2 linked regions of the Drosophila melanogaster genome follow. The protein of the gene in region 2 interacts with the protein of the main gene of each other region in a pairwise test. Each region holds a gene or a part of one and is shown on either strand. Other genes may lie near its edges.

The links.
Region 1: the proteins of Alas (region 2) and Uba1 interact in a two-hybrid assay, tested with the Drosophila melanogaster proteins (one large-scale study listed by BioGRID).

What each region holds. Positions count from the first base shown.
Region 1 is NT_033778.4:9,687,781-9,695,304, forward strand, and holds Uba1 (ubiquitin activating enzyme 1), read right to left. Parts: upstream 5,549-7,524; 5' UTR 5,261-5,548; coding exon 4,502-5,260; intron 3,924-4,501; coding exon 2,202-3,923; intron 2,140-2,201; coding exon 1,831-2,139; intron 1,774-1,830; coding exon 988-1,773; 3' UTR 509-987; downstream 1-508.
Region 2 is NT_033778.4:23,963,034-23,967,309, forward strand, and holds Alas (aminolevulinate synthase), read left to right. Parts: upstream 1-1,738; 5' UTR 1,739-1,851; coding exon 1,852-3,094; intron 3,095-3,238; coding exon 3,239-3,615; 3' UTR 3,616-3,724; downstream 3,725-4,276. Other genes in the region: Fmo-1 (Flavin-containing monooxygenase 1), read left to right, coding at 27-214, 274-460, 513-684, 742-1,277, 1,342-1,509; CG34213 (uncharacterized protein), read right to left, coding at 4,136-4,276.

The DNA.
Region 1 (7,524 bases), about 14 Mb from region 2:
CCCTGCCCAGAACACACTTATTCGACGGATACAAAGCTGATCGGCGCAGCCACTTTCCTCGCCTCGCTTTGTTTTCATTAACTGCATAATTCAAGCAAGTTTGCCAAAAAGCCGCAAAAGGCCAAGAGTGAGATGCGAAACTGCATAACTTTGGCCATACTTCAGTTGCATTGCGTGTAATATTTAATTATAAGAGGACGCCGCCACTCCGCCCAACGCTTTCCATGAGCGGTGCAACTTTACGGCACTTGCCAATTGCACTTTGGTGGCAGCAGCCTCCTTGGGTGCGGGGCGGGGGTGGTATAAACGTCTTGAGAGGGCATAAAATATTTAATTGTGTCACGTAACTTTCTGAAACTGACTGGCGTACGGATAGATGGCATCCCCTATATACTTCACTGGCAGAGCAGTATGCATTACAATTTTAATTTCCGAAGTGGCGGGGGAAATGAGATTACCAGACGTCAAGTGCTGAACGAAATTATCTGAGTCGTCTAGCAGGTCGATTACCATATGAAATATACAGCTTTATTCATTTGCTTTACTCCTTTTAATACAATGACGTAATTAGTTTATGCTTCCATATAAAAAAAATATATGAGTGAAGAGAAATTTTCCGCCTGGCTCATTCAGTTTTCAATTTCCAATTAATCAATGCGATTAAAATCCGCCTTCGGTTTTTCGTAATTCGTTACCTTTACAACTATGCTGAGCAGAGAGTTTCATCAGATGCATTTTAAGTGTTGCTTTTAGTCGAGTCTTTGTATTTCGTATGATGCGTATTATTTTGCCATTCCTTAGAGGATTCACACACATTTTATATAATTTCTAGATCTGGGCTGCTCTCGTAATGGTGTTGTGAAAATTAAAATGCAAACAGCTAGACAGTAACTCCTTCGTTGGAGCTGCGCGATTCCAAAACGCGTCGCCGACAACAAAACGGGATCGTAAAATAATTTAATGGTTAAATTAGGAATATAGACGGGCTTAGGGCAGCGTGTAACGGACGTAGGGCACCTCCACATCCTCGCCATCCACATCGTTGCAGCAGATCTCGAAAACCAGGGATCGCTCGTGTGGCTCCAGGCGACGCTTGGACACGCGACGCACGACCTCCGACATCGGCAACGGCAGTCTCTCAGAGCACTTGGCCTTGGGCATGAAGAACGAGTACAGCATGGACACGCCCTGCGAGAGCATGGTGATCTTAAGCTTCTCATTCTCCTCGAAATAGTTGAGGAATTCCTGCAGCGACAGCTCCCCGGTCACCTCAAAACGGTCCCACAGCGTCCACTCCTTGCCGTAGTATGTGTTCTTGGCGGCAGGAAGCGGCTCAGAGAAGGCCATGAACGGCAATGCCAAGTTGGCGAAGCCGTTCTTGAATTTTACGAGATCCCGGTGGCCGACGATCAGCTTAATCACCTCGAGCACAGCCAATCCAGAGAGCACCGACGTGGTGGTGGCAATAGCAGGTATGATTTTGCCAGCAATCAACTTGGACTTGTGGCGATCCGCTGGCGGAATCTTGTAGTTGGCGGCGCGTAGATTTGAGCAGGCCACAATGAAGTCCATGTGCAAGTTACTGTCGTCGTCCTTTTCAAACTCAAGTGGCGTGATCTTGGAGCTTTTGTCGGCGTTCTTTAGCAGCTCTGAAATGATCTTGTCAACGCGATCCTGGTCCAACTCGCCGTCATCGAAGTTATTGGCCGAGGCGGCGGCTGCTGCCTCATTGGTTTCTATTTTCACGCCCGAACGGGGTTTAAACTCGGGCACCTATAAATCAATAATATCAGAAATGGTCCCCGACGGTATTAATCTCGAACAACTAACCTTAACCTTCTGTACCAGCTCTGCGATCGTCTCGCGATTGCGAACCTGCTCAATGCCATAGACCTCAGCTCGAAGATTGGCGGCTGCGTAGATAAAGTCGAGGTGCATGGGATCGTTGACATCAAAGACCAGGGGATCGGGGCACCGCTTGGGACCAGACCAAAACGGCTGACCACTGGAGGTGATCTGATCAGGTGGGAAGTTAAAGAGCAACTGCTTAATCTGGTTAACATATTGATCCTCCCAATAAAGACGGGCCCACTCCACGCAGTGCGCGAAACTCTTGGGTTTGTCGTCGATCAGAGCTTTCTGTAAAAATAAATTACCATTAAGTACAACATATTAGGCAAAGAAGTAAATTCTATCCTTACCTTGATGGAATCGAGGATCTCCAGAGGCTGAATACCAGGCAGCTTGGCGATTCGCTCGGTGAACTGAGGATCGGCGATGTACTGAGCAGCATTTTCTGCAGACTGCTTGAAGACGCCCTCAAAGGCGTCACGCGCCCACTGCAGAGTGTGCTCGATGGCATTGGGGAAGTTCTTCAGCGTGCAGATGGGAATACTCTTTTCTGGGGGATCCTGGGAGGAGCTATAAGATTCGGTGGCAAAGGGCACAATCACCTGAACGTTGCCCAAAGTTCCCAGAGTTCCGGTCTCGACGAGCGGAATGCGGTTGAAGATGCATTTGCGATCCATATATATGCGAGCATCCACGTTGTCCAGCGCATTGGCTACACCATCCAACTTTCCAAAGAAATCTTCGGAAAAGACTTTCTCTGTTTCGGCGCCAACGCGCAACTCGTATGCGGTGACATTCACTTCCGGATTCATCCGTTTGATAGCGTCGGCGGCCGTCATTGATTTAGGCTTCTGCACATCATGCGGGCGGAACAGGAACTGCCGGTTCAGATTCGACTTCTCAATGAGATCCATGTCTGTGACGAAAATCTGGCCATTGCCAGTTCCCAGGCCCAGCATTCCAAAGTTTTTCAATAGCTCACAACCAATGGCTCCGGCGCCGACAATAAACCATTTCGAGTCAGCCAACTTCTCCTGGAACTTCTTGCCAAATATGGCAATCTGAGAATCATAGCGCGAGCCCACCGGCTGGGCATCCGCCTCCTCGACACCCTCTGTGGGCAGACACTCCAGGGCGTCAAAGTACAACCACTGGTAGATGGGTGTAAACTTTCCACTGCAGGCCTTAAGCACCTCCTGGGCCACAATTCCACCAACGGCCGCGTCCAGCGGGCACGTATTACCCGAGCAGATTTTGGCGAATTGCAGCACCAGTTTTTCGTCGACTTCCGCGTTGCTGCTGGCTCGGACTACCTCGAGGAAGCTGTTGGCGTCCTCCTCGTTCCAGGGACGCGGTAAGGCTCCATTATGGGCCTTGCGGTAGCAGGAGAGGGCATTGAAGGCCACGTGCAGCGTGGCCGGCGAGTCCAGCTTTGCGAAATCGGAGATCAAAAACTCCGGCTCCTCAGTGGCCTGTGCCAGGGGCTTGAAGCTGATGGTCTTGGGCATCTTCACCTGGGTGGCCACTCCTCCGCTCTTATATTCTCCAAACTTGCTGGTATCACCGATGCTAAATGTGTAGGGTCCCAGCACTGTGATCTTAAGGGGCTGACAACCGTTCAGTTCCTGCATGCCCTGCACCTCCGAGAAGGTGACGTAGTCACCGTCATTAAAACCATGGCGCGTCTCGTCCAGGCAGGTGACGACTCCCTGTGCGTCGTGCGTGATACTAGCTATCATGGTGGAGATCGGCTGTGTGCCATCCTGATCGTAAATGGTAAAGCTCTCGCCAAAGTCACAGAACACCTTGGCGAACAGTCCGCGCGTCTCGGCGATGATCAGAGCAATGCCATTTTCATGGGCAAACTTGGCGATCCTCTGCTGCTCCTCCCCGTCGGAGTTGGTCAGTACCACAACGCGAAACTTGCGCAGGAACTCCTCGGTAAGCGGCCCCGTGTGCGAAACGGTGCGCACATAGTTGTTTAACTCGGCCAACTGGGCGCAAGAGGCCTCCGCACGATTCTTGCCGATATCGGCTTCCGTGAGATAGAATTGCGACGACAAGTCATGGAGCTGCAAGACAAACGAATAATCATTAATATTATATATCAACGGTGATGAAATTAGCAGACGGGAGCCATGACTAACAAAGGAAAATTGGTTCTGTGCCGAGTGTACAGCAAAGACATATTTGTCATTAGAACAAAAAAGTTTTTATGATACAAGAAAACTTTAAATTGAAAGGCTATTAACTAAATAATTGATATATTACGGTTTATGAGAAACTCATAGATCTTAAGTTGAATCTTTCAGTGCATAAAACAAAACCGAATGCGTTGAGCAAAGGGGAATGCAAACACAACGGCAGCGAGCGATGCGCATACGGTTGTCCCGCTCACACACTTTTCGCATGGCGCAGACATTTTGAGGCAAATAGAAAAAGAAGGAAAACCGAATTACACACACAAAACGAATTTTTTGCAAGCAAATAGAGATGTTAACCTAACCTTATTTCGCGCGAAGTCTATGATAAATAAATCAAATAAAAACTGAATGATTCACTAAGACCAGGGATGCCAAGTCAGCCTTTCCGGGCATTTCCCGCGTCCGCCTGGAAAATTATCGATTTTTTCTTCGCCCCACACACATACCCCACAAGTTGCTGTGTCATGCAAGGTGATCGATTTCACGCCGCCCAGAATCACATTCTTGGCTATCTCCAGGCCGAGTCCTCCAAGTCCCGACAGAAGGATATCCGAATTGGCCATCCGACGCATCGCATCGTGACCCAGGACGTACAATTGGCGCGAGTACAGCGATTCATCGATATCTCCGCCGGCGGCGGCACTGTTTCCAGCCATGTTGCTGCTTCCTTCCAGTTGTCGGTTATTAGTGCTGTTATTACTGTTATTGTTGCTGGAGCTGACGTTGTTGTTGCTGTTGCTAGTGGCGGATGCACTGGAGGAGGCTTCTTGCGATTCTATTGTGGTGGTGTTCAGGTAATTGCGCTTCTCCGGCCGCTTGCTTCCTTCCTTTTCCACTGCTGACGAGGTACTAACGTCGTCGCCGCTTCCTTGGCTCTGTTTCAGTTTCTGCTTTTCGGCTCGCTTCGCCGCAGCATTAACGCCGCATGTGTCAGAGGTAGACGACGATACGCACAATTCCAGCTGGTGCTCGCTAGTCGTCTTGCTCTGGCACTTGCCCGAAATGTCAACGCCGCCTGCTTTGTCGTGATTTTCGTAGTTGTTGCTGCTACTGCTGCTCGTTGCTCCGCCGGCTTCTTCCTCTTCCATTCCCATTGCCCCCACTCCGTCACCCAACAACTCTAAACGCCTTTTTTTGGCCAGCGGCGAATGGTCACTTGAGCTGCAGGCTGGCGAATCGGCCATCAATTGCTGACCGCTCGACATAGCTTCCTTGCTGAAATATTGGCAATCGAATTTCCCAGTTGCGGCTGCACCGCTCGCCCTCTCTCTTTCGCACACACGCACACTGCAGAATGCGGACACACGCACACGGATGGACACACAAGAACGCTATTTAGTCCGGAAGTCAATTTCCCGTGGTTTCTGACTCGTTCCAGGACAGCGGATTCTATTTGTGGCCGAATTTCTAACAACGCACTCCCAAAAATACAGAACACGCACGATCGAGTTGCAGTATAGAATTCGCAGTAGTGTGGCCGCGGCTCTTGAAATTGGCAAGCCTGCCCAGTGTGACCGACCTGTGTGAATTGGAGGTGGCACAATATAGATTTTATTGCGATGCTATCGATATTTCCGCAATTGGTTAGTTAGGTTTCTTTTCTATATAATAACGCCCAGATTAATAATCCAATTAATTCACATTATTTTAATAATTAAACAGACGGCTTTCATTTTTATTATTCTATTATTTGTAAGTTGGCCAAGTAAAACCAAATGAATTTACACAATTAAAATTGGTAAGCGGGACAAATAAATCAGATTCAAAACTGATTTGCAATACTCCAATTAGCAAAGAATAGGCAGTGGGTTTAAAGCCCAGCTAAGCGCAGTTAAGACTTAAACCTTTTGTGTCACTAACTTATCTAAATAATATTTTTTTGGAGATCTGGCAGGCCTGAATAGTCTAAGAGGCGGTGTTGGTAAACACAAGTTTACCGCGTATTCAGGATACATTTGAAATCGTTTATGTTTATGTTTTTACTACACCGACTGAAATATTAGATTTTGTTAGAGTTAGTTAATTCTTTTTAAACTTGAAAAAAAAAACGGTTCGGGTTCAAAAAATACAAGCTCGTTTAATGAAAATATGGCTCGCATTTTCAAAAATTTGTTGATTTCAATTGACATTTTTTTGCTATGTAATGTTCGAAATTTAAATGTATATTGGTAATATATTTATTTGATAAAATTTAAAGTGGGTTTTAATTTGTTTCAAACTGCTTATAAATAGATGATAACAGACTTCTGGGTCATTACTTTATTTTTCATAATTGTGGTGCAAGCACAACCCTGATATCTTGATATTATTCATTATAATAATAATAATTATTCATTATAATATAGCTTGGCTTCCCCATTATAAATTCCTATATACTTTGTACTGGTCAAACTTAAAAGTAACTTATACATGTATATGGCTTAAACTTGATATTTTTGAATTATGCCATTTAATAGATCGTTCTTATTTTTCTAAACAATTCAAAAATTGTGTTCCCTTCTTCTATAAATAAAGCAATATTCACAATATTTTGAATAAATAAAATATATTGGAATATTCGTTTTTGTGAGTGACATAATATCGATTGAAAGTTAATTTAGCAAATACATATTTCAAACGTAGAACAACCTCTTAATAGATGTGTGTTCAAAAAACTTAAATTTAATAATTCTTTACTCTCCGATTTCATCAACTTCTAAGCCATTAGCTCGAAATTGAAATATATACTTCAATGAGTTTGCTGGTCATCAATCTGTCGGCACTTGAGGCAATTATCCTGGCCCAAAAACCCCGATCGTGGCACGCGCCCCTCGGCAGTTGTCCCACAAACCAACACCAACTGACCCACGGCGAAGTCCTTCGGTGTCGCTTGGTCCTGGCCGGGTTCAATATCCTTTGAGAGCGGCTAATCTATTTTCGGTCGGGGTTCCCTTTCTGTTCTGTGCAACGGTAGTCGAGCATGAAAATGCGTAAATTTCCACGAAAAACAGAGAGCTATCCTATACCAGTTTTCCGAGCGGCGGGGGTGTGTCCTTTTCAAGTGTTGAGAGCGTGCCATTAGGAAAATGCAGTACGAGGGGCAACAGCTGCAGGATCTAAAGCCCGGATCTTGTCGCACAGTTGCGTAAAATGCATTTTAATTTACGCCTACAGCTGCGCGAAATGCTGCTCCCGTTTTAGAAATTCCCCCCTCCCTCCTCCGACGCTCTAATTTTAGTCCGATCTCGATAGGATCGAGAAACTAGCCGCGGACTTTATCGCGTGCGGTGTGTTCCACGTCCTTGTCGCGTGGTATAACCCGAAAAACACAAATTCCTGCCAAATTAGCATACTGATCCTGCAGCGAATGAGCGGGGGTGTCTGCTGCCCATCTGTCCTCCAAATATTCTGCATCGCGTGCCCCCGAAGAGATATAAACATGCATACGTATGTACATATGTGGAATGCACTCCGCCCTCCCTAATTAAGC
Region 2 (4,276 bases):
ATATAAGCTGTAACCAATACTGTAATATGATGAGCGTTTGCATAATTGGGGCCGGAACCGCGGGTCTTTGCTGTGCCCGCCATTCGATTGCAAATGGGTTCGAGACCACTGTGTTCGAGCTATCTGACCGAATCGGCGGCACCTGGGTTTACAATGAGGCAACAGGGGCGGTCAATGGCATCGATGTCCACAGCAGCATGTACAAGAACCTACGGTACGTAAATCTTTCGAAAAACCATTTGATATTCTAAGAGTTTCCGGGCCTCTTCAAAGAACCAACCTGCCCAAGGAGGTAATGGGCTTCCCGGACTTCGAAATCGGGGCAAACGAGGCTTCCTATGTGAGATCCGACGAGATCTGCGACTTCCTTAACCAATACGCGAACCATTTCGACCTGAAGAAGCACATCAAGTTCGATAGCTATGTGATTCGAGTTTTGCAGAGGAAAACAAAGTGGCAAGTAAGTCGTGGAGTCAGCTTTATATATAACCACTTAACTGAAACGTTTGCAGGTACTTTTCAAAGACTTGGTCACCAACAAGATAGAGTTCCAGTACTTCGACAAGGTCTTGGTGGCCAATGGCCACTACCACACTCCGAATTATAGCCAAATTCCGAATATGGAAAGGTTTAAAGGGCAGTTCCTGCACAGCCACGACTTCAGAAGTAGGGAGGTTTTCGAAGGTAATTAAGGAATAACTTCTATTAGGTTATTTCACATGGTGTTCCATTCTGCTCAAGGTAAATCCGTTCTGGTCATTGGAGCTGGTCCCAGTGGCATGGACCTGTCGAACATCATTTCCCGAACGGCGGATCGGGTCACCATAAGTCACCACTTGACCGATATCGGGCAACACTCATTCTTCGAGAACGTACAGCAGAAACCCGATGTGCGGGAGCTCGATGAGAAGGGAGCCTTTTTCGTGGACGGATCGTACCAGGAGTTCGACACCGTCTTCTTTTGCACAGGTTACAAGTACGCCTTTCCCTTCCTGACCGTCGACTCGGGCATCTATGTGGAGGACAACTACGTCCAGGAGCTGTACAAGCAGTGCATCAACATCAGGAACCCATCCATGGCTCTGATCGGACTGCCGTTTTACGTTTGTGCCGCCCAAATGATGGACATCCAAGCGAGGTTCATCATGAGCTACTACAACGGATCCAACGAGTTGCCGTCCACGGAGGATATGCTCAAGGACACCCGCGATAGGATGGGCAAACTGTGGGCGGAGGGACTAAGAAAACGCCATGCCCACATGCTGGGTCCCAAGCAAGTGCGATGCAAGTTGGCTTTACTTCTCTATCTGGTTATTAATTCTATTCTCATTTATTATCAAGATCGACTATTTCACGGACTTGTCGCAAACTGCAGGAGTTAAGAACATCAAGCCTGTGATGACCAAATTGCACAACGAAAGCAGCAAGTGCTTCAATGAGAATTTGCTCCACTTCCGGGAGGACAATTTCGCGATTCTGGACGACGAGACATTCATTAAACTCAACTAGATCCTGAATCAATCAATAGGAGCATTAGATTCCAAAACATCGTTTTTGGACTTCCCTTCGAAATAAAATAAATTTCCAATTCTTGTATTCCAAAACAACAGTTTAAAAAATGAGCTTTTATTCTCGAACAAAAACTTTTTGAACACCGGCAAACATTTGTTTGAACATGTTTGTTGGTATTTTTCCAAACAGCTGATTGCGGGCAGCGCACATTCACCAGCTCTGGCCACACTCGCCCGCCTCCTCGCAATCACCTTCTTGCATAATTTTCGGAACACCTCACTTCGCTTTCAAAGTTCGCTGATTTAGGTCGGGTCTTCAAAAGTGGAATAGCGCCTCGTCATGCAGTGTCCGTTCTTGAACCGCTTCACCGCCAGCTTCATCCGCAACTACGCGGAGACGCTGTGCCAATCCTACGGGAGCCACTGTCCCGTGGTTGGGAAGACCTTGGTATCCGGCGAGAAGAAACTTTCACTCGTCGCCGCAAGTGTTACAAGGTCTCACTCGACGGGGGCGAACGCCCACGCCAATGCTGGTGGCCCCGCAACTGCCAACGCCACCGCTCCCGTCTCCGCCCCCGCCTCTGCCGATCCTGGCAAGGCATCCGCCAAGGAGACCTTTCCCTACGAGCGCTTCTTCAACGAGCAGATCATGAAGAAGAAGCGGGACCATTCCTACAGGGTCTTCAAGAAGGTGAACCGCCTGGCAGGCGACGGGCTTTTCCCCCACGCCCTGGAGTACTCGGAGCGGACGGAAAAGCCCATTACGGTGTGGTGCTCCAATGACTACCTGGGAATGTCCGCCCACCCCGGCGTCAAGAGGGCCGTCCAGGACGCGCTCAATAGGCACGGATCGGGGGCTGGCGGCACCAGGAACATTTCGGGTAACTCTCTTCACCACGAGCGCCTCGAGAGTAAGCTGGCTGAGCTCCACCAGAAGGAGGCTGCGCTGCTGTTCACGTCGTGCTTCGTGGCCAACGATTCCACTCTCTTTACGCTCGCCAAGCTCTTACCTGGGTGCGAGATCTTCTCGGACGCAGGGAACCACGCTTCCATGATTATGGGCATACGGAACAGCGGGGTTCCCAAGCACATCTTCCGGCACAACGACGTGGACCACTTGCATCAGCTGCTGAAGCAGACGGACAAAAGCGTGCCCAAGATCGTCGCATTCGAGACGGTACATTCCATGACGGGGGCCATCTGCCCGCTCGAGGAGCTGCTTGACGTGGCCCACGAGCACGGGGCCATCACGTTCATCGACGAGGTGCACGCCGTGGGATTGTACGGTGACCACGGGGCCGGGGTCGGTGAGCGGGATGGTGTGCTGCACAAAATGGACATCATATCGGGCACCCTGGGCAAGGCGTTCGGTAATATTGGTGGCTACATAGCTGGCACCCATAACCTGGTCGACATGATTCGGTCGTATGCGGCCGGTTTCATCTTCACCACCTCACTACCGCCGACTGTACTGTGTGGCGCCCTGGAGGCCGTCAATATCCTGGCATCGGAGGAGGGTCGCCAGCTGCGCCACTTGCACCAACGGAACGTCTCCTACCTGAAGAGCCTGCTGAAGCGAGAAGGTAAGACGTAATTCTGGCATTTATGTAACTCGAATTGAAGGTTATTCTCGCACTTTCGTTTTATTTTAAGTGATGGCTATAAATATAGAAAGAGACACTTAACTTTCAGTTTACTGACTGCATATATAATTGGCCCCATTTCAGGTTTCCCCGTCGAAGAAACGCCCAGCCACATCATTCCCATTAAGATCGGAGACCCTCTGAAGAGCAGTCAAATCTCAAACGTGCTGATCGAACAATTCGGACACTACCTGCAGTCGATTAACTACCCAACCGTCGCCCGGGGCCAGGAGAAATTGCGGCTGGCCCCCACCCCGTTCCACACTTTTGAAATGATGAACGCCCTGGTTACCGATCTAAAGAAAGTGTGGGAAATGGTGGACCTCTCTACAAACGTCCCTCTTTCGCCCAACGCATGCATGTTCTGCAACTCGGAGAGCTGCTGGCACCAGGACACCTCCCCGGATCTGGAGTGTGGCATTCCCAACTGCCCTCGCCTGGAGATCTCGCTTGCAGCATAGTTGCCTCTTGGAAACACGACTATAAATGAAGCATTCGAATCATAAAGCTATGCCTAAATTATCTGTGCGGTTTTGGACAAATAAACAATGGTTTTGGTGCAATATACATAAATGACGAAATTTCAATTGGAATGGGCTAAGCTGATTGATGACGCTTCTATATGGGGTGATAAGACATGGACTAGAGTGTCACCTTCGCTATGAAGTTGCGTGTTTTTCGAGCCAGCTCCATGCAAATGATATTCAAATTGGGGAATCGCGTGGAAATATTTTCATTGAACCTTGATCCACACTCGTAAGCACTTAAAGGGCTTACCTAGTTTGAAATATTTATATGAAATTAGTCGCATATCAATTTCAGCAGTGGCAGGCTGAATCAGCACAATTATTGCTGATAACCATGACCATCCTATTACGGACCAATGTTTTTGATAATACCACAATAGATAATGATCCGATTTTATACACTTTGATTAGAGAAGATTTTGTACACATTTAGTAAGATCTATTGGGTCAGAGACTAGCCGAACAGCTGGAGATCGTAAACAATGATTCTACCAAATAGATCGGTGCTGGACTCGAAGACGAACTTTAGCTTTGAGCAGGGGTTTTCCCGGACTGATTCCGCAATCTGAAAAAGCTGTGGGGAGTTGATATCTTC